Linked DNA regions of Sus scrofa. The protein of the gene in region 4 purifies or fractionates together with the protein of the main gene of each other region. This does not show direct contact. Links are inferred from orthologs where the notes say so. Each region holds a gene or a part of one and is shown on either strand. Other genes may lie near its edges. The genes, in order: MAVS, NEK7, TRIM31, NLRP3 and USP50.

What was found.
Region 1: the proteins of NLRP3 (region 4) and MAVS purify together in Homo sapiens (affinity purification with western blotting; 4 studies listed by BioGRID and IntAct, with this or other methods). This does not show direct contact. The link is inferred for Sus scrofa from reciprocal best matches to the Homo sapiens genes NLRP3 and MAVS.
Region 2: the proteins of NLRP3 (region 4) and NEK7 purify together in Homo sapiens (affinity purification with western blotting; 9 studies listed by BioGRID and IntAct, with this or other methods). This does not show direct contact. The link is inferred for Sus scrofa from reciprocal best matches to the Homo sapiens genes NLRP3 and NEK7.
Region 3: the proteins of NLRP3 (region 4) and TRIM31 purify together in Homo sapiens (affinity purification with western blotting; 3 studies listed by BioGRID). This does not show direct contact. The link is inferred for Sus scrofa from reciprocal best matches to the Homo sapiens genes NLRP3 and TRIM31.
Region 5: the proteins of NLRP3 (region 4) and USP50 purify together in Homo sapiens (affinity purification with western blotting; 3 studies listed by BioGRID). This does not show direct contact. The link is inferred for Sus scrofa from reciprocal best matches to the Homo sapiens genes NLRP3 and USP50.

The regions. Positions count from the first base shown.
Region 1 is NC_010459.5:31,851,070-31,856,853, forward strand, and holds part of MAVS (mitochondrial antiviral-signaling protein), read right to left. Parts: intron 4,963-5,784; coding exon 4,507-4,962; 3' UTR 1-4,506.
Region 2 is NC_010452.4:21,077,210-21,082,993, forward strand, and holds part of NEK7 (serine/threonine-protein kinase Nek7), read left to right. Parts: intron 1-374; coding exon 375-483; intron 484-1,407; coding exon 1,408-1,515; intron 1,516-5,784. UniProt on the Homo sapiens protein: Protein kinase which plays an important role in mitotic cell cycle progression. Required for microtubule nucleation activity of the centrosome, robust mitotic spindle formation and cytokinesis.
Region 3 is NC_010449.5:22,677,307-22,683,627, reverse strand, and holds the start of TRIM31 (E3 ubiquitin-protein ligase TRIM31), read left to right. Parts: upstream 1-2,396; 5' UTR 2,397-2,594; coding exon 2,595-3,011; intron 3,012-4,177; coding exon 4,178-4,273; intron 4,274-5,244; coding exon 5,245-5,475; intron 5,476-6,321.
Region 4 is NC_010444.4:56,965,627-56,971,410, forward strand, and holds part of NLRP3 (NACHT, LRR and PYD domains-containing protein 3), read right to left. Parts: intron 3,572-5,784; coding exon 3,467-3,571; intron 2,910-3,466; coding exon 1,139-2,909; intron 1-1,138. UniProt on the Homo sapiens protein: Sensor component of the NLRP3 inflammasome, which mediates inflammasome activation in response to defects in membrane integrity, leading to secretion of inflammatory cytokines IL1B and IL18 and pyroptosis.
Region 5 is NC_010443.5:121,302,719-121,308,555, reverse strand, and holds the end of USP50 (inactive ubiquitin carboxyl-terminal hydrolase 50), read right to left. Parts: intron 2,526-5,837; exon of another isoform or gene 1,719-2,525; coding exon 1,527-1,718; downstream 1-1,526. UniProt on the Homo sapiens protein: Deubiquitinating enzyme that removes conjugated ubiquitin from specific proteins to regulate different cellular processes. Regulates the inflammasome signaling pathway by deubiquitinating 'Lys-63'-linked polyubiquitination of the PYCARD/ASC adapter protein.

The DNA.
Region 1 (5,784 bases), on a different chromosome or scaffold from region 4:
AGTCGGATTCGTTAACCACTGCGCCACGATGGGAACTCCTCCGAGTTAGGTATACTCTTAACAGCTAGATGACTGTAGGAAAAGTAGAATTCCTGAATAATCGGTTAATGATGAGGTCAGCTGATGAGGTCAGTTGACCAATGGTCTTGAAGAGCCTTGTGTGGAGCTTTGGCTCTGCCCTGTTCTCCATTTCATTAGTAATTTGGTGGCTCATCCTGCACACAGTGGGGAAAAAAAAATCCAGAAACAGAGGGTCCTCAAACAACTGAAACAATGACCAAATTGTTTGGATTGTTACATGAACTAAATTCAATTCAACAAAGGCCTATTTCGCTTGGCAACAATAGTTTGTAGAAGGGAGAGGGGTGGACTGGGGGGGTTGGGATTGGTGTAAGCACACTGTGGTCTATGGAATGACTGGCCAACGGGGACCTGTATGCAGCACAGGGAACTTGACCCAATATTCTGTGATGATCTATACAGGAAAATATACACTACTTTCCCTGCAGGAAAAAATGTTCCTTGGCCATCAGCTTCACCAGAGTGTATTGGTGGAAAGCAAGGGACCTCAAGGCCTGAATGACTCCATGCCTAAGAGACTCCTGTAAAAGCAGGAGACAGGCTGTGGAGTTTGAATCTGGACAAGAGTGGGAAGGTCTGCCCACTGGAAGGGCTCTGCCAGAGCCTAGAGGAGACCCCACATGCAATGGGGCAAACTGCCACTGGACATGCCCATTGATCGTCACCTTTCTGGGACAGAAGCAGTGGCCAGACACCTCAGGGGAGCTTGTTAGTAAAGGAATCCCCTCTGATTCCCTCCTCCTAAGAGAGGGACCCAGTGCTGCTCACACTTTGAACTGGTTCAAGAGGGATGTCACCACCGATGCCAAGAAACCAAGAGGGGAATGCCTCGTTGTTACCTCATGCTACCTTGGAAGAAAACACAGGTCCTTTGCCACAAAATCCTCTTGTCCCAAGTCTTTCCCTTGGCTTTGAACTCCTCACTCCCTGATTTACAAAAGGCACCTGTACAAAAAATGGGGAATCAAGCAGGAATGAACAAGACTGACCATGAGGCATTCCTGGTGGCTCAGCGGCAATGAACCCAGCTAATATCCATGAAGATGCAGGTTTGATCCCTGGCCTTGCTCAGTGGGCTAAAGATCTGGTGTTGCCTGTGAGCTGTGGTGTAAGTCACAGATGTGGCTCGGATCACGCATTGCTGTGGCTGAGGCTTTGGCCAGCAGCTACAGCTTTGATTCGACCCCTAGCCTGGGCACCTCCATATGCTGTGGGTGTGGCCCCAAAAAGACAAAAAACAAAACAAACAAACAAAAAGACTAGCCATGTGTCCACAATTACTGATGCTGGATGATGGGCATATGGAGTGGGGAGTATTATTCTATCTATTCTACCGTGTGAGCTTAAAAGTTTTTCATAAAAAAAAAAAAAAATGCTTAGAAGCTACGGGAGTTCTCCTCTGGTGCAGTGGGTTAAAGATCCAGCATTGGCTTGGGTTGCTGCCATCGCCCAGGTTTGATTCCTGACCCAGGAACTTCCACAATGCCACAGGCGTGGCCGATAAACAAACAAAAGAAGCTATGAATAACCCAACCCAAAGCCTGAAAGAGGAAAGGGCATCTTGCTGATATTTGACCAGAAATTCCCCTAAGTCAGTTAAATCTGAGTACATCCAACCAGGAAAACAAGGTGAGGATGTGATGTGAGTCTGGCTGCAGTGGGTCATCAAGCAAAGGTGACAGCTATTTCCCAGCAAAAGAGAAGCATTGGTGGCTCTTGGGCTTTGCAGGAAATGTTTCAACAGGAGAGAGAAAAGATGGAGAGGGTGTTTTGTTTTTTTTTTTAAATACGGATGTATACTGGGCTACAGGTGAGGCTGCTGTAAGTGTTTAGGATGCCATTGGCCCCTCTGGCCCCACAGCCTTTACTGAAAGGTAAAGGGTGCTTCTCCAAGCCTCTAGGTAGAGGTGGCTGTGCTCACCTCTTGGGGTAAAGGCCCTCTTTGGTCCTCCCTCCCTCCACATCACTCAGGCCATGGGGATGAGGAACCCTCCCACACGCACCCTCTTGCTGCTGAAACCCAGGACTCCTGAGATATGACACATCCCATCAACTCCCCCAAGCCCTCTTCTGGCCACAGGCCTCCATATACTGGCCAATTCCCAAGCCTGCTTCAAGTTGGCATTTTAGAGGCCTTCAGATCAACAACAGCCAAAATAGGGGTGCTGTTCGATGCAGGCCAAGTCAGGGCTTCTGGGGAGCATAATTTGCAAAGGACCAGGTACATCCCTGACTGCTTTCTACACACCTTATCCAAAAAGTATCTCCCCCTTGGCTGGTCACCGTACTTGAAATCCTACCTTTTTTCTTTTTTTGCTTTTTAGAGCTGCCCCCATATGGAGGTTCCCAGGCTAGGGGTCTAATTGGAGCTACAGCTGCCAGTCTACGCCACAGCCTCAGCAACGCCAGATCCGAGCTGAATCTGTGAACTACACCACAGCTCACAGCAATGCTGGATCCTTAGCCCACTGAGCGAGGCCAGGGATCAAGCCTGCAACCTCATGGTTCCTAGTCGGATTCATTTCCTCTGAGCCATGATGGGAATTCTGAAATCCTACCATTTATGTAGCATCCCTTAGGTCTACACACTGCTGTCGAGATACTTTGTTCCCAAGCCACCTTGAGAGGGTAGCACTTTAAAACCAGTACCTGTGCATGAATTGTTCCCTGACTTGGATACCTGGGAGTGAAGAAGGAGCACAGAGGGGTGGTTAAGAGCAAGGGTGATAGGGAGTGGTTGCAGACAGCGTGGGTAGGGACCACTCCTAGCTTCAGGGTGCAGGTTGTTCCATTTGGAGAGGGTTGAAGAGAAATCTAGAGGTAGAAGCCAAGGTCATTAGGCTGCTGAGGTCCCCTAGGGCAGTGCAAAGAAAGGCTGTAGCAGCCCAAGCAGGGTGCAGGACCCTGCAGACTGACAGCTTGGGGGCGGGTCCCAGGGACGCCCACCCCTTATGTCTCCTCAGGGCTCTGGTCCTGCTTGCAGAGCCCAGAAATGAAGGGAGCTCCCGAGGCCCCTGTCCCTGCCCCTTGTCCAGCAATGGCTGCCTGAAAAGAACCCACTAGGGTACCCCCCAATCCATCTGGTTGCTGGGGAGCACCCCAGCCCCCACCCTGCAGAATTGCCCCAGTGGATAGACCTCCCTCCCCAGTAATTCCCCAGTGCCCGGGACAAAGGAAGGGGCAAATATAAAAGGGACATAGGCGTATGGCCTGGCTCTGCTTCTAACGGTGTAGCCAAGTGCTCCAGTCCCTCCACATTGAATAGTGACAAACATGTACCCAACCCTTAGTCAATGAAATGCCAGGAACCATTCTAAGATTTAAATAGATAAACTCATTTAATCCTTATGACACTAGGACGTGTGTATCTATATATATAAAATTCCACTACTCATCCTCTTTTTACAGGTGAGAAAACTAAGGCACAGAGAGGTTAATATCTTGCCCAAGAGCACAGAATTAGTGAGAGCGGGATGCAGACCTAGGCCACCCTACAGCACAGTGGTACCCCCTTACCCACCTGGCTCCCTGCCTCTCACCCCTCATCTCCACCAGGCCGGGCAGGGAGAGATGGGGAAAAGCATTTAGCAGCCACCTGCTCTGAGCCAGGCACTTGACAAAGACATGTAGGCTTCAATCTCAGGAGAAGGCAGTGAAGGATAAGGCATGACACTCACCGTCCACATGGGTGAGCAAGACCAGAGAAGTCTGATGAGCTGCCAAGGCCACACAGCCCAGGAAGGGGTGGAGCCGAAATCTGCACCTTGGCCTGAGCTCTGCCCTGCAGGTGTTCCCTCCCCAGCCCCCATAGGGAGGTGAAGAGAGACCAGGATACGGGGGCTGGAGAGGGGCTCTTTAGGTGGTTCTCAGGCCCAGCAGCTGGTCAGGCTTCCCAGGGGTCCATGGGACTCTCCGGACCTCCTCCCATCCTTGTGTGCCAGGGGAGGCAGGGGACTAGGTCCTTAGAGATGGGCCACCATGCTGTTCCTGGGGCCCCTGGGGGCTGGAGCAAAGTCCTGTGGGGCCCCCTGCCCCACCCATCTGCTGTGGGCTGCCAGGGATCAGGGCAGGACAGCGGATGTTGTTGACGCCCTGCGGTCTCCAGCTGCACCTCCTGATCCTTGGACTTGGGACAGAGGCACCTCCTCCAGAGGACAAAGGTAACAACCCAGATGGCCAGATGGTCTGGAGCACCCAGGGCAGCACGGGTCCCCAAAAGCCAAGGATGGTGGGGGAGCCACAGAGGACAATGGGACCGAAATGCTCCCTGCTAGGACTAAGCCTGGGGCCCCCTGCCTCCCCTCTGACCCAGCCTCTGCCAGCTCCACAAAAGGGTCAGGGATGCTGGGATAACTTGGCTCTGTGGCTCAGGCAGATGTATCTTGGAGAAGGGAACAGATACGTGGTGGACAGGGCCCAGGAGCCTCACTGGGGCAGGCGCCGCCGGTACAGCATGGCCAGGAGTGTGGCCAGAAGCACCCCAACCACCGCCACCCCAACCCACGGAGCCCTAGCCTCAGTCTTGACCTCTTCCAACCCCTCTTCCAACTCCTCCTCTGCCTGGAACTCCGAGGCAGTGAGTGGCCCCGGGCTGTCCCCTACAGGTGGGGTGCTGGGGTCCCCCTGGATCCTAATAGTATCCACTGACACGTACTCGTTCTCCTCTGGGGTGTTGTCAGGCCCTGAGCCCAGAGGATTGCTGTAGCTGATGGCGAGGTCCTCGGAGGAGCCCGAGAAAGGCTGGCTATCCATCCTGGACACCAGCCTACCAGGCTTGCTCAGCTCCGGCTCCTCTGAGTCCCAGCGGTCAGAGTTGCTGTCTGGCCAGGGCGAGGTGCCTCCAGCAGCAGTGCCTATGGGCGCTGGAGATGCTGGAGTCTCCTGGGAAAGAAAGAAGGGGCTGGAGAGACTGAGGCTGGCAGGGGAAAAGCCAGGTTGGGTGGCCCCATTCCCAGGCCAGGCCAAGAACTAGCACCATACCCCAGAGTGCCCAACCCACGGATGGTACAGGAGGACAGCAGGGGAGAAGGGGACCTCCTCTAGGGCTGACAGCTCCACTCACTGGCCTGCCTGTGAGCTCACTCCCACCCCACGAGCCCCTGGTCACGTGTGGTCCCATCTACTTCAGCATCCTGCCTGGGCTTCAAGGCCGTGGAGCAGGTACAGGGTAGACAAGAGGCTGGGCCATGCACACAAAGGGCTTCATGAACTTGGTTCCTCCAGGCAGACAGCAGCAGTAGGGTTAGAGGCACAGGCTCAGAGTCTGCTGAATCAGAGCGGCTGCTCCAGGCTGGACGGGCTGGGACTGCAGTTTGTCCCACCTGGTCATGGTAGGGCAACCAGATCTCCCAGTGGTGAAGAGCAAGCCATCGAGGCCCATAAGCCACCCTGCCCTACCCCTCCCCACTCAGCTTAAAAGGGAGCTGTGAGGAGTTCCCCGTCATGGCTCAGCAGTAACGAATCCAACTAGTATTCATGAGGATGCAGGTTCGATTCCTGGCCTCGCTCAGTGGGTTAAAGATCTGGCGTTGCTGGGAGCTGTGGTGGAGGTCACAATTGTGGCTCGGATCCGGAGTTACTGTGGCTGTGATGTAGGCTCCAATTTGACCCCTCGCCTGGGAACTTCCGTATGTTACAGTTTCAGCCCTAAAAAAAACAAAAAAAAAGAAGGGGGGGTGGGGAGCTGTGAGCTCTAAATGGGTT
Region 2 (5,784 bases), on a different chromosome or scaffold from region 4:
TAACTACTTCCATGTCTCTAGACTTTTTTTATTCTGGCTTTTCTTAAAATAAAAGTTGACATCCTCCTTCTTCCCCCTCTAGGATAGGAAATTATTTTCTGTACATGTTAATTTTTTGAAATAGGTGGATATCACAAAGATGTAGCCTGCTGTATGTAGCCTGTACCAACTTTAGATACAACAGGGAGACATTTAAGCTATTATGTCAGGTAAAAATCTTGGAATTGTTTTGCTGTGGAAAAGGGTGTGGTTTCTTTTAAATCTGGTAATAGACATGAGTAGGTGGTTTTCTGACTTAGGGTTTTTGCTGGTCAGAGTCTAGTCTGAAGATAATTTTAGTTTTTTTAAAATCTCATCTTTAATTTTTTCAATAGCACTTTAAGAAACAGAAGAGGCTGATTCCTGAGAGAACTGTTTGGAAGTACTTTGTCCAGCTCTGCAGCGCCTTAGAGCACATGCATTCTCGGCGAGTCATGCACCGAGGTGAGCCAAATCCCGAGGAACTTCTAGGGTTGGTTTAAACGATGCAGGTTCCTAGGCAGCTTAAGAATACATGCCTTCTGGTCATCGCATAGTATCATGCCTTCCCAGGTAATTTATTTCCAAATTGTAATTTTACTAGAATGATAAGCCTTTAAGTAAAGCCATATGTGGTTTTAAATAAGAATTAGAATTAATTATTTTTCTGTTGGACTTTTTTTTTTTAGTTTTTTTTTTTTAACTGATTCTGTTAGTAAAGGGAAAAAATAGATGCAGGAGAGCAGTTGAATATGTATAAGGAAGAGAGGTTTTTTTTTTTTTTTAAATGTACAGTATACATCATAGGTACTTAGATTTTTAATTTTCTGCATCCACTCCTAACACGTTCTTGCTTATCAGTCAGATGGTTGGGCAGAATGGGGGAAGGTTACATCACTAAGGAATTGATTCCTTGATTTTGAGATGTGCACAGTTTCAATACAACTTATTTAAGCAATTAAAATTTCTGAGGTCATCTAAGTAAGTAATTATATGCATAATAGAGTTTTGATTTCTAGTTCAAGTAAGCATATCAATAAATTACTATTTGTAAGCTATTTTATTTAAGATTGATTTAAGACTGGCACACATTTATTTTGTGCTTTGAATTTCATAGACGTTTATTTGAAAACAGCAAACAAAATGCATTCTAAGTGAATATGAATAGCCATCCTCCTGCTCCGTCGATGATTATCTATCAGAGGACTGAGAACTCGGAGGTATTCGGATACATGAAAATTACTCAAAATAAGAGGACAGTTTCAAAATTTAGCCTGACTTTCGTTTTAAAGATGTATTTTAAATTCTACAGTTGAGAAGTGGTTTTCAATCCTTTGACTTTGCCTAACCTGACACCATGTTTCACCGGATGCCTTCATTTATTCACAGATATAAAGCCGGCTAATGTGTTCATCACGGCCACTGGGGTGGTCAAACTTGGAGATCTCGGCCTTGGCCGGTTTTTTAGCTCCAAAACCACAGCTGCACATTCGTTAGGTAAGAGATGGTTTCCTTCAATTATCTACCCACTACCTGCCCACCTTTCTTCCCCCACCCCCGTGGTTAAATGTATAAGGGATCTACCATTTATGTGCCAGCTCTTATAGTCTAAATAACACTTTTTAACATCATCAGATCTGAGCCGATACAGGTTTATCAGGTATAATGTGTCCATTCAGGACAGTCGGATACTTTGTTAATTTGACCTCAGGCAGGCGCTTAGTGAAAGACAGTGCTAATGAACCAATCTGGTTGTATTTCCAAGGATCTTTTCTTTTACATGGAGTAATATAGAGATAACATGAAGAACAAACCATATCTTGAAAGAGGACCTCACCTGACCATTAACAATTATTATGGTAGTTTGTAAATGTTTAATTTATTAAAGTAACATACACGGTTGTGATTACTGCAGAGGGGCAACATACATGATCTGTGGCTAATGGGGAAAATACTTCTCAATTAGAAAGTAGAAAGATATCTGTAAGTTATTCATTCTAGAGCTGGCAACATACCAGTTTCCTTCACACCCAAAAGAGAGCCGAATGTAGTTATTAGTACGACATTATATTAATGGAAAGGAGGTTGTCCAGCTTAGAAACAGTAGAAATAAGTTGGCTAGTGGTGCCGTATCTTTTTCATAATTTCATTGAAAACAAGTGATTTTTTTTTTTGGATAAAATTGTTTTTAAATGCAAAATAGTAAATTTCAAATGGCCCAATGAGGAGTAAATGAGTTGCACTAAATAACAAGTAGTGAGACCAGCGTCTGAGTTAGTTGACCAGACATTTTTAAAGTTTGTCTGGGTTTGTTCTAAGGTTCTGTGTGGCCTTGAACGTGTCATTTAACTCCTCTGTATCTACAACAGGATGTGATGCCTAAGTAGGCACCTCATCAATATTTACTGAATGGCAGAATATTGGATCTCAGATGAAGGAGTTGTGGAAAAATAACACTTTACCCTTCACGCAGAGTTTCACTTTTGTCAAGTACTTTGAGGAAGTAAAATTTCAACTGATGCCAAGTAATACTGTTTTTATTTTTTCTTTCACTCTACATTTATTCTTGCAGAGCATTACAGTTTTTTTTTTCCCAGATAAGAAAATTTGATGTGACATTCCATATGAAATGCTTAAATTGGCAAAGCACTGTAATAAAGTTTTATCTGGACTTTCCAACCCTCACAGTGCAAGTAGGAGAGTATTTCTGTGAAGAAAACATCAGAGTGCTCCAAGCCAGTGCCATTTATCATTAGCAACGATAACATGTTGTCACTCTGTTATTCACCTGAACAGCATGTCCTGATAGCACCCTGTCATCAATCTACTTAAAATGCCAGGGCACAGTTACACACACCCACACACACCCACACACACACACACACACACACACACACACACCCTGCATGTACCCATGATCCTGCCCATGCATGTGTATTGTTTAAGTGCTGCTTTGCAAGCTGTCTCCCTGAGCATGCGTTAGTTAGTTGCCTGACCTTAATGATCCAGCATATTATGTGAAACCCAGATCTCACCAGTTTTGAAAATGGATTTCTTTAGCTTGCCTGCTACCACCTCTTACAGTATCTCTGAATGGGGTTTAAAAATATATACGCATCTCTAGATTTAGGTGATATGTTAGTTCAAATTATGTGATATAGAGAATAAAATTTTAGGAGATCTTATAATTCATTAAGAATTTCTGATGTCAGTTTTTATCTAAATCAGTTCATTTAGGGTCTCTTAGTTTTTTATATGTACACACACACACACACACACACAATAAATGAGGATGCCCCAAATTACCAAACATTCTGAAACACATGCTAAGGAAGTAGCAATGAGACTGTTTCTCCGATAAATGAATCAATAGAAAAATAATTTCCTTCACTCATGTTTTGTTTTCCATATTCTTAAAATAAGAAAGCTTTTTATTCCTGCCTGTCTTCTCTGCAAAGATTTTGATGATTTGAAACTGTAAGTTCACGAAGCAAAGTATGGTGAACGTCAAGAATTAAAGTTTGAACTCTAGCCCTCTTTGGACCCAATAAAAATCCTATGTAGAAGGATCAGGAAAAATTCTTTGCTAGCAAATAGTATGTATAAAATAACAAGGATAGAAATCTTAAGACAGGCTTTTCTTTGTTGACCGGTTGACCCTAATTTTTACTTTTAAAGAGGTACTGCTGTCCTGTGTTACCAAGGCGAGACAGAACGATGCTTGGCGAGAGTGGGGATGTTCCATAGGACCTTGATCAAGCCATTTATTAACTTCTCTGAGAAGGGGCACATATCCCTTTGTTGTCTTTCATTTGTCTGTCAACCTTATAAATGGTCAGATACTATAAAATGTGTTTTATGTATACATAAATATGTCTGTATCTTTAAAATTTATGATGAGAACACACCTCTCTCTTGAATCAAGGTTTTGGCTAGACTAGTTAAGAGGCTTTCAAATTTCTTGACATCGACCCCCCAGCAACACGGTGACCCCACGGGAGCACAGCCATGTATGTCTGAAGCAGAAGTTTCATGTAACAGTGTTTTCTGTTACAACTGCAGTTCATTCTGATGTCGTCTGTTCTGTTTTATTTTATGTTACTATAAATAATGTTATTTGCAACCCACTGAATTGATTTCACAACTCGTTAATGGGTTATAACCCGCAATTTGGAAAGCATTAGTCTGTGTTTGCAGTACCTTCGTGCTGTTCCATTTACTTGAAGACAGACTCCCCATTTCTCTAGCTACTGTCAGCCTTCTCCCGACTGGCTGGCTGGCCAGTTCAGTTGGTCAGACATAAACCAGTCATTTGCAGAGTTTCCTGTGCTGCTGGAGGCGGGCAGCAATGTGCACCAGAGACTATAGTTTCAGCTCCCCGAGGTCCTTACAGTTGTGTGTGAGCTCAGGGTGCAAAGTGTTCCTCTCCTGGAGTCCAGGAGACCAGGGCATGGGGGCACACGGCTGTGCGCCTGGAAAGCAGAGAGCCCCAGCGAAAGCAGGGAGCCCCAGCTGCTGCGTCTGGGTTCACTGTCCCACGTGTACTGTGTTTCATCACTGAATGCACCTTGTGCAGTTTTCCCCACTCTGTCTCTGTTTTTTGGCTTGTTGCTACTTGCTTCCATCTGGAGTTACGTTGTTGTGCTTTGCACATTGTGGAGGAGCTGATAGGAGCTGCCCCTGGTCCTGGACTTAACTGCTTTTGCTGCCCATGTCTCAGAAATAAACAGAAAGTGGGCCTATAGGATATTGAAGTCTTTCTTCAGTAACCATTCTGTCTACCCCCAACTTGGGCAGGTATTTCTAAAGGAGTAGCTTTTCTGGACTGAAAACTAAAACGCCGAGACCTGTGAAATAGGAACATGGCAATCAGGGTGTAATTTTTTTTCATTTCACCTTGGATTATTTCGAAATAATCCAAATATATGATTTTTAATGTCAAACTATCTTGGTTTCCTGTAATAATGACCCGGAGGAAACATCTGCTGCTATTAAATGTCAGCAGCATCAGCAGCAGCGAATATGTGTGTAGCATTTTATTATTTGCAAGCAGTTTTAAAGCAAGTTTTCTCCGCTTTCTTGTTCCGCAGTGTCATGCAGTGGGTCGAGTGGGGCTTGTTGTTCATTCTATTGAATACTGAACCTGACGCCCACTCCCACACCATCCCTAGAATTCCTGATCTTTATCCTAGTCTCATTTTTTCTTTTTTCCCAGCATATTCATCTTTGAATATGCTAGTAAATCCTTATCAGGCTTAGTGCTTTCTGTCTCTCTCCCCCAGCTGTGTATAAGCTTCATGAGGACTGAGATCTCCGTGGTTTAGGTTCCCTGATGTGTCTCACATGCCTAGGAGAGGGCATTGCACAAAACAGATGCTCAGCACATACTGATGAAACAAATGGGCTTGGAGAGAGGCCACACATCAAAGGACGGAGTTAACAAAATGCACCAGTTAGGATAGGTTACGTTATGCTGCAGGAAGAAACAGGAGCAGCAGCTCAGTCACTTGGCACCGAAGCAGACTATCCCTCTGGTCCCCCGGAGCCACTGTGGGCCCATGGGGGGGTCCGAGGCAGCTGCCTTCCCTCCACGTGGTCACTTGGTACTTGGCGCAGCTTCCGTCCTGTGTGATCCGCATATCTGCATGTGCTGTCGTGACCTCCTGAGGGCAGGATCATGAAGCATCCCTCACTGGCTCTTGGTTCAGCGTCTCTGCTCCAGCGTAACACAAATTACCCCACTTACTTTATTGGCTGAAACAGATC
Region 3 (6,321 bases), on a different chromosome or scaffold from region 4:
CGGCTACGTGAAACATCAGACAAATAGTCTTTGATCTCGATTGTATGTGGAAACTCCACCACACTCATAGAGATAGAGAGTAGGGTGGTGGTTGCCAGGAACTGAGGGGTAGGGGAAATTGGAAAGTGTGGGTCAAAGGGTACAAAGTTTTAGTTATAGGATGACTAAGTTCCCTACTGTACAGTGTTGTGACTATAGTTGTTTTTTTTGTTTTTTCGTTTTTTGTCTTTTTGCCATTTTCCACAGCATATGGAGGTTCCCAGCTAGGGGTCGAATAGGAGCTGTAGCCACCGGCCTACGCCAGAGCCACAGCAATGCAGGATCTGAGCCGTGTCTGCAACCTACACCACAGCTCACGGCAATGCTGGATCCTTAACCCACTGAGCAAGGCCAGGGATCGAACCTGAAACATCATGGTTCCTAGTCGGATTCGTTAACTACTGAGCCACGACGGGAACTTCGTGACTGCAGTTAACCATACTGTATTGTATACTCGAAAGTTGCCTCAAGAATAGATCTTTAATGTTCTCACATTAATAACAACAAAAAGGTAACTATGTGAAGAGAAGGATGTGTGAACTAATCTTATCATGGCAAACATTTCACAATATATACACGTACCAAAGCATCGCACTGTGCACTTAATCCTTCACAATGTTCTATGTCAATTATGTATCAGTAAAGCTGGGGGATGGGGGCGGGTGGGGGAAGGAAGGTCAGATGTCTTCAGGGGCCAGGCAGACAAGAGGGAGGAAGAAGTGGTAGGGGAAATAAAACACCCACCCTCTCTAAAGTCATCCAAATTACCCTTATGTTGAAAATCACCAGGTCAAATAAAACCTGGTTTAATAGTTAAATTCTGCCTCCAGGGGTCAGCAGTTTAAGATGCGTATAAGCTATAAAATATTACGCAAACATTAAGATGCTTTAATTCAACCTCAAAGCAAACAACGAGAAAGATCTTTTCATAACATTTCTGAAACAGAGGTATAATATTTCTGAAAGCCTGTGGCTTGCAACGGTTGCTATAATTAGGGTAATTGTATAATCTGTCATCCAAGCAGGACACTTTTGAGAATGGAAGGAAGTGCTACTCATCACACCAGCACCATCCCAGGCAAACCAGAATATATGATCACTCCGACTATAATCAGAACATCACTCCCAAGCCCTGTCTGACCTAAGATTAGGATCTGGTAAACATGAAGGGGTCACTCCTTGGTGGGGACAGATGGCAGAGAGAGAGGAGGTAAGGGCGGAGGCTGGGATGGAGAGGGAATGGGAAGCGAGAAAGGATCCTTCTCTTACACAAGGAGGCAAGGTTACAATGATGCAAATGGAGGTTGGGGGACACTGGTCGATATTTTCCTGGTCAGGACCGAAGCCCCAGGGGAAGGTGTTTCAGAGATCAGAGAAGCACCAAGAAGCAGGAAGAAATACAGACAAAACAAAGAATGCTCATGGAGACGCTAGAGATGGAAAACATTTGAGAAAAAACCCAAAGAGGACAGATTTGCTACAGGTGCTATGGGGAAGTAAAAGATCAGCCAGGATGGAGAACAGCCCTTTCAGAGAGGAAGTTCCTTGCTCCTCCCACTGTGCTAGGAATCCCCCCCCCAGCCCCGCCCCATGAGGGGAATGGTTGCTTTTCCTTATAAATAATGGGAAAGCCCCTGAGTGGGTGATTACATCTTCCACATTTGCACAAAACTCTTAAAAGGGTAGAGCCAAACTACAAGAGGCAGGGAATTACCCTCTTCCTTCCTTTCCATGTTTTTCCATGGTTCGGGCTCTGCATACAAGAGATGTTCAACGCATCACTGGTGACCTGCTGTGACCTTTCGGGAGGTGACTTCCAGCCCCTCTACTCCCTCCCTGAACAACTGCCAGTGGACTTTGGTGCCCTGGTCCTTCTGATCTCTGTTAATGGCCTCATAAACATATCTTTAATTAGTCCAAGGTTCAGGACAACTTGCCCCATTTTATAAGCAGGATAAATCCATTTACAATATCCATTTGTTCGCGAGAGGTAGTGAGGTAGCATTGCCCATCGGTTTTCTTCTTTATGATAGTCCCTACATTGGTTTTACTCTTTTCTTTTTGCCTTTTTTTTTTTCTGTTTATTTATTTATTTATTTTTTGCTTTTTAGGGCCACACCCGTGGCATAAATAAATTCCCAGGCTAGGGGTCGAATCGGAGGTCGAATCGGAGCTACAGCTGCCAGCCTACACCACAGCCACAGCAACGCAGGCTCCGAGCCATGTCTGTGAGCTACGCCACAACTCATGGCAATGCTGGATCCTTAACCCACTGAGTGAGGCCAGGGATAGAACCCGATCATGGATATGAGTTGTGTTCGCTAACCGCTGAGCCACGATGGGAACTCCTGGTTTTAATCTTTTCTATTATTCTTTTTTTTTTTTTTTAATCTTTTCTATTATTCCTTTTTTTTCTCTAGCACTTCTTTTCCTCCTTCCTGCTTCTCTGATGGACCCTTTGACCTTCATCTCCTCTGTTTCCTCCTTTTGTAGAACCAGTGTCCACAGCAGGATCCTAGACTCTCTGCAGACTTGACGCTGCCGTCGTCTCCATCATGGCTGGTCAGCAGTTTACCAACAAGCTTCAGGAGGAGGTGATCTGCCCCATCTGCATGGATATCCTGCAGGACCCTGCTACCATCGACTGTGGGCACAGTTTCTGCCTCCAATGCATCATGCGGAGCAGGGAAGGATTGGACAGCGTTATTAAATGTCCCCTCTGCAACAAAATTGTGAAGAGGGACACGATAAGGCCCAACTGGCTGTTGGTGAATCTGGTGGAGAAAATCCAAGCTATGGATCCCTCCGAGGAACAGCCAGAAGTGAAAGAGCTGAAGTGTCCGAAGCACGGGGAGAGGTTTCATTACTTCTGTGAGTCCGATGGGAAGGTCCTCTGTGTGGCGTGTTGTGGATCCAAGGACCACAAATTCCACAACACAATTTTGCTAGAAGAAGCTGCCCAGAGTTTTCAGGTAGGCATTTGGGGGTCCCTTCCCTGTTCCCCCACCACAGACCAGGAGTTCAGTGAGGGCCTGGAAACCGTCACCTCCTGCCTCTGGTTTGTACCGCATTGCTGCCATCTTGGCACTTGAGCAGACACTTCACGGTCAGGTCCGGTAGGTTCAAATGTCTGTGTGTGAAGAGCTGATGCCTGTTGAAGCCAAGGGGTAATGGAGAATGGAAAGAATGCAGGGATTTTGAGACAGAAGGTGTGGGTCCAGATTCAGACTCCTGAATTGACTCTGTGACCTTCAAGGAATTCCTTTACCTCTCTGTGCTTCGCCTTTCAAATGGGACAAACAAAATGTATTTTTAAAGAATTGTTGGTATGGGAGTTCCCACCATGGGTCAGTGGTTAACGAATCTGACTAGGAACCATGAGGTTGCGGGTTCGATCCCTGCCCTTGCTCAGTGGGTTAAGGTTCTGGCGTTGCCGTGAGCTGTGGTGTAGGTTGCAGACTCGGCTCGGATCCTGCGTTGGGTGGCTGTGGTGTAGGCTTGGCAGCTACAGCTCCAATTAGACTCCCAGCCTGGGAACCTCCATATGCCGCGGGTGCCGCCCTAGAAAAGGCAAAAAGACCAAAAAAAAAAAAGGAATTGTTGGTATGGCAAATGAGAGGTTTGTGGAAATGCTTCAGTAATCCCAAAGCACATCCAAATATTAGTCATTAATATATTAGTTATAATTTACTAGCACATTCCTTTCTAGTGCATCACTTAGGCTCCGACACTGCACCCCAGCCCCCAGTTTGAACAGCAAAGGTGGCTCTATTAATCTTTATACAAGGATAGAGTTCCCATTGTGGCTCAGTGGTTAATGAATCTGACTAGCATCCATGAGGACGCAGGTTCAATCTGGCCTTGCTCAGTGGGTTAAGGATCTGGCATTGGCGTGAGCTGTGGTGTAGGTTCAGATGTGGTTCAGATCCCGTGTTACTGTGGCTGTGACGTAGGCCGGCAGCTACAGCTCCAATTCGACCCCTAGCCTGGGAACCTCCATATGCTGCAGATGCAGCCTTAAAAAGCAAAAAAAAAAAAAAATCATTACACAAGGATGCACCCACCCTCCAGGGAGATCAGAGGGTGTCATGAGGCCAAGAAAACTCCAGGAATTGCCAAGATAACTCTCTCCCCACAGGGGCAGATTCAATCACAGGTGGAGGCCCTGCTGCAAAAGGAGAGGGCGATCGTTCAAATGAAGTTACAAGGTGACCAGAGGATCACTACCTTGATGGTAAGAAAAAAACTCAGGAGTTTCTGTCATGGCTCAGTGGAAATGAAAATGACTAGAATCCATGAGGATATGGATTCAATCCCTGGCCTCGCTCAGTGGGTTAGAAATCTGGCATTGCCATGAGCTGTGGTGTGGGTCACAGATGCGGCTCAGATCCTGCATTGCTGTGGCTGTGGTGTAGACTGGCAGCTCCAGCTCCTATTTGACCCCTAGCCTAGGAACCTCCATATGCTGTGGGTGCAGCCCCCAAAAGACAAAAAAGACAAAAAACTTTTAAAAAGAAAAAAAAGAAAATGAAGACATTGTAAACCCACCTAATTATCTTTACCTGTGTTGTGTGTGTGTGTGTGTGTGTGTGTGTGTGTGTGCTCACGCACGTGCAGAGGGAAAAAAAATCTGTGTGAAAGCCAATTATAAACTGAAAAGCCTTCTGGAAATGTGAGTACTAGATACCGAAGTATTAAGTGTTAGATATGTAGGTGCTATCAGACAAGAAACATAAACAAGTAACCCCAAACAAAAATGAAGCACATAGTAAGTGCTTTAAAAAATGCTGTTCTCGGGGAGTTCCTGTCATGGCTCAGTGGTTAACGAATCCAACTAGGAACCATGAGGTTGTGGGTTCAGTCCCTGGCCTCGATCACTGGGTTAAGGATCCGGCATTGCCGTGAGCTGTGGTGTGGGTCCCAGACGCTGCTCGGATCTGGTGTTGCTGTGGCTCTGGCGTAGGACGGTGGCTACAGTTCTGATTGGACCCCTAGCCTGGGAACCTCCATATGCCGAGGGAGTGGCCCTAGAAAAGGCAAAAAGACAAAAAAAAAAAAAATGTTGTTTTCTTCCCCTTTCCTTTTCTCCAGGTCTGTCATGCTGCTCAGGATAAACTTAATACAATGGAAACTGAGTAAAAAGGGGTAGAAGGAGCTTTGAGGCCACCCTCGCATCTTCTGAGTGTCCGTTTTCCTTGCCCCCAGGCCCAGGTCGAACAGGAGAAGCAAAAGATCAGCACGGTATTCGAACAGCTGCTTCAGGCGTTGAAGGAGGAGAAGAACTTCCTCCTGTCTCGGATCAACTGGCTGGATCAGGAGCTGACCAAGGACAGGAACTCCTACCTCGCTTCCGCCGAGGCGCAGCTGCAGTCTCTCAGGAAGCTTAAGGATTCCCTGAAGGCCAGGCAGCTTCTGCCGCCCAGAGAGATGCTCCAGGTAAGAGTTCCTGGGGGGCCAAGTTGTAAGGAGCTAGCGTCCCTCCTAGTCACAGCTCAGCGCACTGACCACCTGGCACAATACCAGAGACGGCCACCACTCTCCTGCCCCAGGCCCCGTGCTGCCCAGGACAAGGACGGTGTGAGCCACGGTGTGATTTAGTGCATAATGCACACCATGTATGTCATTTAGAAATATAACAGGATGGAGTTCCCGTCGTGGCTCAGTGGTTAACGGATCCAACTAGGAACCATGAGGTTTCGGGTTCCATCCCTGGCCTTGCTCAGTGGGCTAAGGATCCAGCGTTGCCGTGAGCTGTGGTGTAGGTCGCAGACGCAGCTCTGATCTTGCGTTGCTGTGGCTCTGGCGTAGGCTGGCGGCTACAGCTCCGATTGGACCCCTAGCCTGGGAACCTCCATATACCGAAGAAGCAGCCCAAGAAATTGTAAAAAGACCAAAAAAGAAAAAAGAAATATAACAGGAACATGTGTATAATTCAGAATTATATTACACATATGCAATTTAAACTTTTTCTAGTAGCCACATTAAAAAGATAAAAAGAAAAATAATTTGAACACCATATTTTATTTAACCCAATATATCCAAAATATTCTCATTTCAATCTGTTAACCAGTATTCTTAAAGTATTCAGGAAATATTTTATAAACCTCCCCCCTTTAAAAAAATTGAGTCACTGTGGCTCAGTGGGCTAAGTCCCTGACTAGTATCCATGAGGATGCGGGTTGGATCCCTGGCCTCACCCAGTGGGTTAAGAATCCATTGTTGCCGCAAGCTGTGACATCACAGATGTGGTTCTTGTATCCTGTGTTGCCGTGGCTGTGGCTG
Region 4 (5,784 bases):
AAATTGGATTGTGATGATCATTGTACAACTACAGATGTGATAAATTCATTTGAGTAATTTAAAAAGCTTTAAAAAAGAATAGCAAGGAAGCATAGAAAATAAAAGAAGAAAACAAGATATCGTAAGACCAAATATGTAAATTATAACAATAATATGCATGTGTTAAAATTCTATTAAATGGTCAAGATTCTCAGCCTCACTAGAAAAAAAAAAAGAGAACCTGACTAGTATCCATGAGGATGTGGGTTTGATCCCTGGCCTCACTCAGTGTGTTAAAGGATCCAGCACTGCCAAGAGCTGTGGTGTAGGCTGGAGACATGGCTCAGATCTGGCATTGCTGTGGCTGTGGCTATAGCTGTAGATGTGGCTGGCAGTTGCAGCTCCAATTAGACCCCTAGCCTGGGAGCTTCCATATGTCACAGATGTGGCCTAAAAAAAGAGCAAGAGCCTCTAATTTTGGCTTACTGTGAATACTCTCCTGCCCCTCCCTCGGGCATTCTCCTCCTTCCTCCCTCATCAGTCAGTTGCCCTGCCCATGGCCCTTGACACTCTTCTAAGTGACCGAGAGACCAATTCTCATACTGGCTGCATAATAGCATCAGCGGTGCTCTCAAAATCCCTAGGCCAGGAGTTTCCACTATGGCTCATCAGGTTAAGAAACCGACATTGTATCCATAAGGATGGAGGTTCAATACCTGGCCTCACTCAGTAGGTTAAGGATCTGGCATGGACACAAGCTGCAGTGTAGTTTGCAGATTCAGCTCAGATCCAGTATTTCTGTGGCTGTTGTGCAGGCCAGCAGCTGCAGCTCTGATTCAACCCCTAGCCTGAGAACATCCATATGCTGAAGGTGTGTCCATAAAAAAATTTTTTTTAATTTCCAAGCCAAGACACAACACAGGAATAAAATCTCTGAGGTGAGACCAAGCATGTTGAAATTTTTAACACTTCCAGGTCATTCCAAAATGCAGCTATTGTTTAAAAATGCAGATTCTGACTCCATGGGTCCAGGATCAGACACTTCTAACAGGCACCAGGTAGATGCCCAGGCTGCTGGTCCTTAGAAGTTTCTAGAACATATAAAGCAATCTCCTGTCCTCAGAGGAAGGTAACTGTCATCTAGCAAGAATCTCCTTACCGCTGAGAATATGCAACATGAGACTCAGAGAGGATACAATTGTCCACATCAGAGTGTTGAACATCCTCCTCCTCTATCTCCTCTTCCTCCTCCTCCTCTTTGGGTGAATTATGGAGCAACCTCAGAGAAAGTGATTCCACATGGCGACAGTTCTCAATACAAAAAGAAGAAACTACATGGTCCATTCTGGTGGAGAGATTGATCTCAATTTTAGGGAAATGGCCCATGGCCTTTTGCACAAAGTCCTCCTCCTGCATTTCGTACAAACAGTAAAATAATTCCAGCTGGCTGGGCTCAATCTGTAGCTTCTTGGCCTTGGCTTTCGCTTCAATCCATTTAAGCAGCTCTAGCCTGATTTTCTGAGAGATCTTACAACTCAGTTTTTTCTCCAAGTAGGACGTTCTCTCCTGGTTTACAAGGCCAAAGAGGAAACGGACAACAAAAATCAGATACCCCTTTTCAAATTTGCCATAGTTTTCAAGAAGAACTGTCACGTCTCGACTGGGAAGCTTCAAACAGCTTCGTGGCACATTCCTCATCTCCCCCTGATCCTCCTTTTCCAGTAGATAGTACATGGCAGCAAAGAACTCCTGGAAAGTCATGTGAATGAAGCTGTAGAATTTCTCACAGTCTACTTCCTTTTGGAATAGGTTCATCCTCAGGAAAGCAGACACATCTGCCTTCTGCAGGCCATGGTTCCTGAGATCACACTCCTCAAACAGGATTTTCTGATTCCAGATTCCATCCGCAGCCAGTGAGCAGAGACCCCAGAGGGTGGCAGAGACGTGGTGGTCCTGGCTCCCTTCTTGAGATTGCAACAAAGTGGAGAGGAAGAAGATATACACGGCAGTGGTGGTCTTGGATGTCCTGGCAAGACTCTTGCCGCTATCCATCTGCTGTTTCAGCCCAGTGCACACAATCCAGCAGACCAGGGGAATAAAGCACATGGTGAACAGGACCTCATTCTCCTGAATCAGCCTGAAGGCTTCCCTTGCTTGCTGTTCATCTGAAAAATACTTAAAGAAATATTCCTTCCTCTTGGCCTCTGAGAAACCCAGAATCTCCACATGACGAGCCCGGCCCAGCAAGTGCTGAAGTTTCTCCAGGGCCACAGGTCTTGTGGTGATGAGCAGGGAGGCCTCAGGAAGCAGTCTTTTTCTGATGAGGCTGCTCAGGAGAATGTCTCCCCGCTCCACCTTCTGCCAGTTTGTGCAGAGTGCCTCTGTGCGCTCATCAAAGGCACCTTGCAGCTCATCAAAGCCATCCATGAGGAAGAGGATCCTGGAAGGCTTGCTCACAATCTTGCCTATGGGTGGGTTTGGGCCAGGGCAGCAGCTGGCGATCAGGTCTCCCAGGCTCCTCCGAGTTCCTAGGCTCACCTCCCGACAGTGAATGTAAAACAAATAGTCAAATTTTTCCTGGTAAAGTTTCTCTGATGCCCAGTCCAACATGATCTTCCTGGCCAGTATTGTTTTCCCAATGCCTGCTGCTCCCTGGAATACTACCGTGTGCACAGGCTCAGAGTGTTGGTCCTCAGGATCAAACAGCAATTCCAAGTTCAGGGAACTCACGGGGCCATCTTGCATCTTGGCTGAGGTCCTGCCAATGGCAAGGAGCTCATGCTCCCTCTCCTGCTGACTCCGGTGTTCCTTGATGAGACGCAGCCTGGTGAAGCGTTTGTTGAGGTTCACACTCTCACCCAGACGTGCATTCCTGTCTTTGATGCACTGGAATCTGCTTCTCACGTGCTTTCTGTACTTCTTACAATAATCTGTGGCAGAAAAAGAAAGTTAGACTTTGGGCAAAGCCTGAGCTCATCCACCAGAGATAAGCTTTCATCAGGGGCCTGTGGTGTGTAAGGAGTGGTAACTGAAATTGAGAAATGGAAGTTGCAGTTTCTCTGCACTGCTTAGGTATGGACAAATGGAAGATTCTGACACCCTAATGGAAAATCTAGAGTGTCAAAATCTTATTACACTTTTTTTTTAATTTTCAAAGTTTTATTGAACTTTGAAATATATTGTTGAACAGAACAGCCAAGTGTCATAGGCACTGTTCCAGGCCAGAAAACACTTTTTATTCAGTTTACTTCTTTAGATACTCTGCAGCTCATGCTTTTTAAAGACTTAAGCACTTAATTATGTACCCTTGGTTCTTAGACTGCAAGGAGCCATGCCAGCATGAATCTATTTCTTCAGCTGAGATTGACTTTTTCACCCCAAGGAACAGGAACATGTTAGGATCACCAAGATATCCAGCTTCCCAGCTTCAAGTACCTACCAAACCAAGTCTCCAAACCCAATTGGAAATGCCACCTCCTTTTCTTACCTTTCTTTTTCTTACAAATAGAGATTCTGGAAAGGTACCCCAGTAAACCCATCCATTCCTCTTCAAGGCTTTCTTCCTGGCTTATCACAGAAAGATTTGCATTGTCTGGGAATAAAAGGAAGAAAAATGCAAAATATCAAAACCCAGAAACCCTAAGATGATGTAATGGAGATTCAATATCCAACACCTGACACAGGTCAAAGGCACCTGCCCTAAAGATCTCCCAAACCAAAATCAGCTCAGTTGAATGTTCAGTTGGGGACAATCCTGTACTCCTCATTTCCAAGCAATGCTTCCCACCTAGCATTGTGTCCACACAGTATCCAGTCTCAGATCTCCCAGGCTGGAAATCAAATTGCAAACATATGAGGCAAAGAAGGTTTCTCTTATTCTCATGTCTCTGAACAATTCCCTCCCTGGTGCTCTGGTTTTGAGACCATCCTCAAACTCTCCAATATCTCCACAATGGCCAAAGCACTCACAATCATCCTCCTCTGACACAAATGCCTGGAATTCATCTTACCCACATTCTGAGTCTTCAAAAGTAAAAATAATCACATCATAAAAAGCCTACGAACAGTTAATGCTGGAGAGGCTATGGAGAAAAAGGAACCCTTTACGATGTTGCTGGGCATGAAAATTGGCACAACCACTATGGAGAACAGTATGGCAGTTCCTTAAAAAACTAAAAATAGAACCATCACATAATCCTTCAATCCCATCCTTGGGCATATATCTGGAGAAAACTATCATTAAAAAAAAAGATAAATGCATTTTAAAATTTTTTTGGAAGCACAAAAGACCCAGAATAGCCAAAGACATCCTGAGAAAGAAAAAGGGAGCTGAAAGAATCAGGCTCCCTGACTTCAGAATATACTACAAAGCAACAATCGTCAAAACCATATGGTACTGGCACAAAGACAGAAATACAGATTCGTGGAACAGGATAGAAAGCCCAGAATTAAACCCATGCACCTGCAGCCAACTCCTCTCTGACAAAGGAGGCAAGAATATACAATGGAGAAAAGACAGCCTGCTCAATAAGTGGTGCTGGGAAAAATGGACAGCCACATAGAAAAGAATGAAATTAGAACACTCCCAAATGCCACACACAAAAATAAACTCCAAATGGAGTAAAGACCTAGATAGAAGACCAGACACTATAAAACTCTCAGAGAAAAACAGAGGCCAAACACTCTCTGACATAAATGACAGCAACATCTTCTCAGATCCACCTCTTAGAAGTATTGACAATAAAAACAAAAATAAACAAATGGGACCTGATCAAACTTCAACGTTTCTGCACAGCAAAGGAAACCCTAAACAACACAAAAAGACAACCCACAGAATGGGAGGAAATCTTTGCAAGTCAATCAACTGACAAGGGATTCATCTCCAAAATTTATAAACACCTTCTGCAGCTCCATACCAAAAAAACAAACAACCCCATCAAAACATGAGCAGAAGATCTAAACAGACAGTTCTCCAAAGAAGACATACAGATGGCCAAAAAACACATGAAAAGATGTTCAACATCCCTCATTATTAGAGAAAGGACGATCAAAACCATGATGAGGTACCACCTCACACCAGCCAGAATGGCCTGCATCCAAAAGTCTACAAACAGGAGTTCCCGTCGTGGCGCAGTGGTTAACGAATCCGACTAGGAACCATGAGGTTGTGGGTTCAGTCCCTGCCCTTGCTCAGTGGGTTAACGATCCGGCGTTGCCATGAGCTGTGGTGTAGGTTGCAGATGCGGCTCGGATCCCGTGTTGCTGTGGCTCTGTTATAGGCCTGTGGCTACAGCTCCAATTAGACAGCCTGGGAGCCTCCATATGCCGCGGAAGCGGCCCAAAGAAATAGCAAAAAAAAAAAAAAAAAAAAAAAAAGACAAAAGTCTACAAACAATAAAGGCTGGAGAGGGGGTGGAGAAAAGGGAGCCCTATTACACTGTTGGTGGGAATGTAAATTGGTACAGCCACTGTGGAAAACAGTATGGAGATACCTCAGAAAACTAAACATAGAACTACCATTTGATCCAACATTCCCACCCCTGGGCATCTATCCAGAGAAAACCATGATTCGCAAAGACACATGTACTCCGATGTTCATTGCAGCACTGTTTGCAATAGCCAAGACGTGGAAACAACCTAAATGTCCATCGACAGAGGAGTGGATCCAGAAGATGAGGTACATGTACACAATGGAATATTACTCAGCCATTAAAAGGAACGAAATACCAGCAAATTTAGCAACATGGATGGACTTGGAAATTGTCATACTAAGTGAAGTCAGCCATACAATGAGTCACCAACATC
Region 5 (5,837 bases), on a different chromosome or scaffold from region 4:
TTGCACATCAAATCGATGTACATAGTATAATATGTGGTCCTTTTGTGAAGCCTAGATCTCAGAGGATTGCTTTTTTTTTCTTCCTTTTGGCCTATCCTGAGTAACTGCAGTGCTTTCTTAGGGAAATGACAGGGCAAAGCTCTTTTTCTGTTGGCTTTGGGCTGTATTTGTGCACTAAACCTTTATTCTAAAAAAATAAATGGAAACTTTTCTTTAATTTTTTAAAATGAGAATTTTCATTTACACCTACATTAAAATCTTAATGAGAAAAATAATTTAAAATCCTGTAAGTGTTCTGTCTTTAATTTTATATTATCACACATAGGACAGAATAACTAAAGATTTTATACACACATACACACACTTTATCCCACTACAGTGACTTAGAATTTAGTTCGCTTACTCTGTTACATCAGTTGATTCCACTCTTCCTTCATCTTGACCCCGAACTACATATAACACTTACGAGTCTCAGGATTGGGAGTCAGATATAATAAAACCAGACTTATTCTATCAAGAGTGTAGAATTCTTTGGATTAAGATTTTAAAAAAAAGAGTCAGGCATGACTGCAAAACTGCATTATAAACCACATCTTTATAAAGTGATGCATTTGGAGTTCCCGTTGTGGCACAGGGCAAACTAATCTGATTAGTATCCACGAGAACATGGGTTCAATCCCTGGCCTCACTCAGTGGGTTAAGGATCTGGTGTTGCCGAGAGCTGTGATGTAGCTCACAGACATGGCTCGGATCTCAAGTTGCTGTGGCTGCGGTGTAGGCTGGTGGCTGTAGCTCTGATTCGACCTCTAGCCTGGGAACTTCCATATGCCATGGGTGCAGCCCTAAAAAGTGGAAAAAAAAAAAAAGTGATTTATTAATAGGAACAGAGGAGCTTAGAATTTCACTTACCTCAGGGACTCAGTTGTTACAGATAAAATCAATATAAACACTCCATATAAAAACAAAATTCTAAAGGTGCTTCTAAAAGATGTCACCACTAGTGGACTCCCAGGAAGAAGATGAAAGGATAGGTTTTGAATTGTGAAACTGACGACTTCATGTACCACAAGTAGTCTGAGATTAAAGCTTCTTGGCTAAATTATCTGATCAAATTAAATATTTTCAGCTCACATTCTAAGCTCACAGAGCCATTCGAACAAAAGTTATTTCGGTTTAGCTCTGTGAAATATCTTCGGAAAATAACTCTTTGGATATAAATAATTATGAGACAGTTTATGGTAAAAAATAAATAAATACCCTAATAAACACTGCACTTTGAAGCCTGAACACAATATGTAGTCTAAGTGCTTTGAAGGCTCCCAGCCCATTGGCATTGCATCATTCTTATGCTGCCTTTTTTTGGTGGTCCAGGACCCATCTTTGTTATAGACTTATAAAAGTTTGCATAATATGCCAGAAAGACTTAAATGTGATGCAGGTAAGTTGCAAGAGTTTTAATGATAGTACAGAACTTAAGTACCAGTTTCTGACTACTTGTTTTGCAGTTTTCAGGAATTACCATATTCCTAACTCTTGCATTTTTGTATAGGTATAGAAAAGGGCTGGCAGCTATAGAACAGGAGATACGCTGTAGCAGTTTGAACTGAAGTGTCCGGAATCTCACTGACTCGTGTGTCATCAAAGCTATACCAGGCCTGGGTCACCGAGTTCTTGCAGAAAGCAGTGTAGTGGCCACCATCCAGATCACCAAAATGGTTCTAGAGGAGAAAGGAATGTCAGCATTAGTATTTACATTCGAATACTTTAAACACTTGGAATCAAAAAGGTAGGGCCAATAAATATTTTTTCTAATTGTCCCATATACTGGATTAAAAGGAAATGGTAATTTTGTTAAGTTAAATCCCACATATAGCCTGACTGCTATATTTTTCTTAATCACTGAACTTATATATTGTGTACATTGATTATTTAACAGAATCTGTGAATGAAGTAGGACAATATTTGGCAGCATCTAATATTTATTCATTAATACTTACTGAGCACGTACTGTACATAGACTATTAAACATCAAGGGAAATTTTAAAATAAGAAAATAATAATCTTTCCTAAATGAGCTTATTGTTTAATTTTGACGACATGAAAAAAAAATTTAACATTGGAGCAGGACATGAAAACAACTGTATATTGCTACCACACAATTTGAGGCTGTTGTACTTGAACAACAGTTCTCCTGGTCATCTAAGGCCCCCCAAAAGAACCTGTTCCATCCTCTTTTTCGCATGTCTTTCCTAACCCAGTCAAAGAGTGTCTGAAGCAAAGGCATTGGAGAACCTCACTTCTCAGAAGGTGGTCTGGTATAGGCCAGGGGTTGACAAACTATTTGCGCATGGGTCAAAAAGCCAGCCCACTGCCTGTTTGTATATGGTCTGTGAATTAAGAATGCATTTTATATTTTTATACGGTTGAAGAAAGTCAAAAGAATAATATTTTGTGACATGTGAAAATTATAAATTATATGAAATTCAGATTTTTCAATGTCCTTAAATAAAGTTTTATGGGAACCCAGCCATGCTCACTCGTTTATGTTTTTTGTTTTGTTTTTTTGTTTTTGTCTTTGTCTTTTTAAGGCTGCATCTGTGGCATATGGAGGTTCCCAGGCTAGGGGTCGAATCAGAGCTGTAGCTGCTGGCCTGCACCACAGCCACAACAATGCGGGATTCGAGCCGCCTCTGCAAACTACAGCACAGCTCGTGGCAACACCGGATCCTTAACCCACTGAGCGAGGCCAGGGATGGAACCTACGTCCTCATGGATTCTAGTCGGGTTCATTAACCACTGAGCCATGATGGGAACTCCTCCTTGTTTATGTTTTTAGCTGGCTGTTCTCACACTACAACAGTAAAGTTGAATAATTGCAGTACAGACTAGAGACTATATGGCTTGCAGAGCCTAAAATATTTACTGTCTAGCTTTTTACAGAATAAGTTTGTTGATCCCTAGGGTAGAGTGAAGAAAATGGATTTTTTAAATTCATTCTGACTATGAATTCAGCTCTAATACTACACAGTGACCTTAAGGAAACCATCTGAGCTTTAATTCCCCTGTCGTTTAAAATGGGGTAATTAGATCTGTCTTGTCTTACATGGCTACTATTTCTCTCTTAGTGCTGCCATATAGGAAGTACTTGGTTAAATATTTCCTAAGACCTTCATCTTCCCTCCCTCTCCCCCTACATGTTAGAGAAATATCCCAAAGCTGACATTTAAAAGATGCAGTCTTGGAGTTCCCGTCGTGGCGCAGTGGTTAACGAATCCAACTAGGAACCATGAGGTTGCGGGTTCAATCCCTAGCCTTGCTCAGAGGGTTAAGGATCTGGTGTTGCCGTGAGCTGTGGTGTAGGTTGCAGACACGGCTTGGATCCCGCGTTGCTGTGCCTCTGGCGTAGGCCAGTGGCTACAGCTCTGATTAGACCCCTAGCCTGGGAAACTCCATATGCCTTGGGAAGCGGCCCTAGAAAAGGCAAAAAGACAAAAAAAATTAAAATAAATAAAAGATCCAGTCTTTGATCCTGGTCCTTGCCATGTTACCTTAAGCTGATAGGCTCTTTAGCTTCCTTATTTATAAAATGGTGCCTATAATGGTGTGATTGTAATTTGACTGACAGAAACATCTGGTGGATCCAGATAATGAAGTAGTGTTTTAAAGTGACTAGACAGACCACAGCTGGAATATGTTCAGTTGGATGACTTATTGTTAAACAAACAAACAAAAAACTTAGTCAAAGAGAATGAAGCCTCTTTCTAGATTTCCATTCCCAGTAACTTGGGCAGACAATTAGCTAGCCTGAAAGCCTTAGTTATGGAAGTGCTGGAGAAAACCTGTTAAATACCCTTTGAAATATATGGCTAACTTTAAAGACTGTATAACGAAAGTAATCCCCAGAGGCCAAGAACAGAAGAAATAAAAAGATTAGCATAGCATGTGGTTCGTGTTGTGACTTCCTGGGAGTAAAGACAGTCCCTGGTTCCTGGAACCAGGGTACTTGCGTTAAGGACTGGAGGAGGTTAAGTCTTAGGTCCCAGCAAGGCGAGGAGTTGGGTTGGAGATCCACACACATAACCACAACTCTTAAAGAGATTCGTCCTCAATAAAACAATGAACTAGGAGAGAAAAACCCATCCTCCAGTGCTTAGCTTAGCTTAGGCTCTGGGTACATAGAACAAAAGTCATTCCTAGAAGCTTGTTACCACAGACTGACTTCTCTTTGGTTTGGATTCAAAGTTACACTACCTGGGGAATTCCCTGGTAGCTCAGAAGGTTAAGGATCTGTTGTTGTGGCATGGGTTCATTCCCTGGCCTGGGAACTTCAACATGCCTTGGAAAAAAAAATTTTTTTCACTACCTGTGTGTCTCAGAATCCTGTGAATTTTTTTTTTTTTTTTTTGGCCATACCCATGGCACATGGAAGTTCTCGAGCCACAAACTGAATCTGAGCCACAGCTATGACCTGGATCTTTAACTCACCGTGCCATAGCAGGAACTCCAGAATCTTGTGAATTTAATGTTAGAAGTATTCTGGGGTTGCCTTTGGCAAAAGGGAAGATAATTACTTTCTGGTTTGATGTATTTAATTCAGGCTGCACAGGATACCCACATAAGACAAAAACCTAGTAATGCTGAACTGACAATTTAGTATTACAGAACACACAAGGAAACAATTCACCATGAGTAAGAGTTAAAAGGCAATAAATAGAGACTATATAAAAGGTATAGACATTTAAGAAAAAGGAAGCAGACTTTGGAATCCTGAAAGGAACTTCTAGAAGTGAAAAATATAATACTTGAAATTAAAAATTCAGTGTAGAGATTAACTAGTACATAGAATTGAACAGAGAATGAATAAACTATAGAAATGAAACTGAGGAAATTACTCTGAATATCGTAGTAATAGGAAATTGAATGAAGACATTCAATGTATGTCTAATAGGTGTTTCAGAGAATAGAGTATAGGCAATATTGAAAGTGATAATGACTAGAAATGATTAATGAAAGATGAATCTTCAAATTTAGTAAATACCAAGCATAGTGAACCAAAGCATAAATAAAAATTTATACCAAGCATAAATACCAAATTTAGTGAACCAGGCATAAATAAAAATAGTGCTGCAAGACAACACAAAGAGAAAAATCTTTAAAGCAACCAGAAAAAAAGATTACCCACATGATGATAGAACTCCATAGCAGCCATATAAATCAGAAATAATAGGAGTTCCTGGCGTGGTGCAGTGTTTAACAAATCCGACTAGGAACCATGATGTTGTTGAGGGTTCGATCCCTGGCCTTGCTGAGTGGGTTAAGGATCTGGTGTTGCTGTGAGTTGTGGTGTAGGTCGAAGATGTGGCTCGGATCCCATGTTGCTGTGGCTCTGGCATAGGCCGGTGGCTACAGCTCCGATTCGACCCCTAGCCTGGGAAACTCCATATGCCACGGGAGCGGCCCTAGAAAAGGCAAAAAAAACAAACAAAAAGAGAAATAATAAAATAGTTTCAAAATGATAATCTAGAATTAGGTTTCTAGTTAAATTATTCAAGAAAGAAAAGTGAACTAAAAACTTTTTCAGTCAAAGACTTGGGAGGCTTTCCCATTGTGCCTCATAAAGCGTTAAGAACCTGACTAGTCTCTGAGGATGCAGGTTCTATCCCTGGCCTCACTTAGTGGGTTAAGGATCTGGAGTTGCGCAAGAAGTGGCTTAGGTTACAGATGTGTCTCAGATTTGGCATTGTTGTGGCTGTGGTGTAGGCCACCAGCTGCAGCTCCAGCTGGACCCCTAGCTTGGGAACATCTATATGCCTCAGGTACAGCCTTGAAAAAAAGAG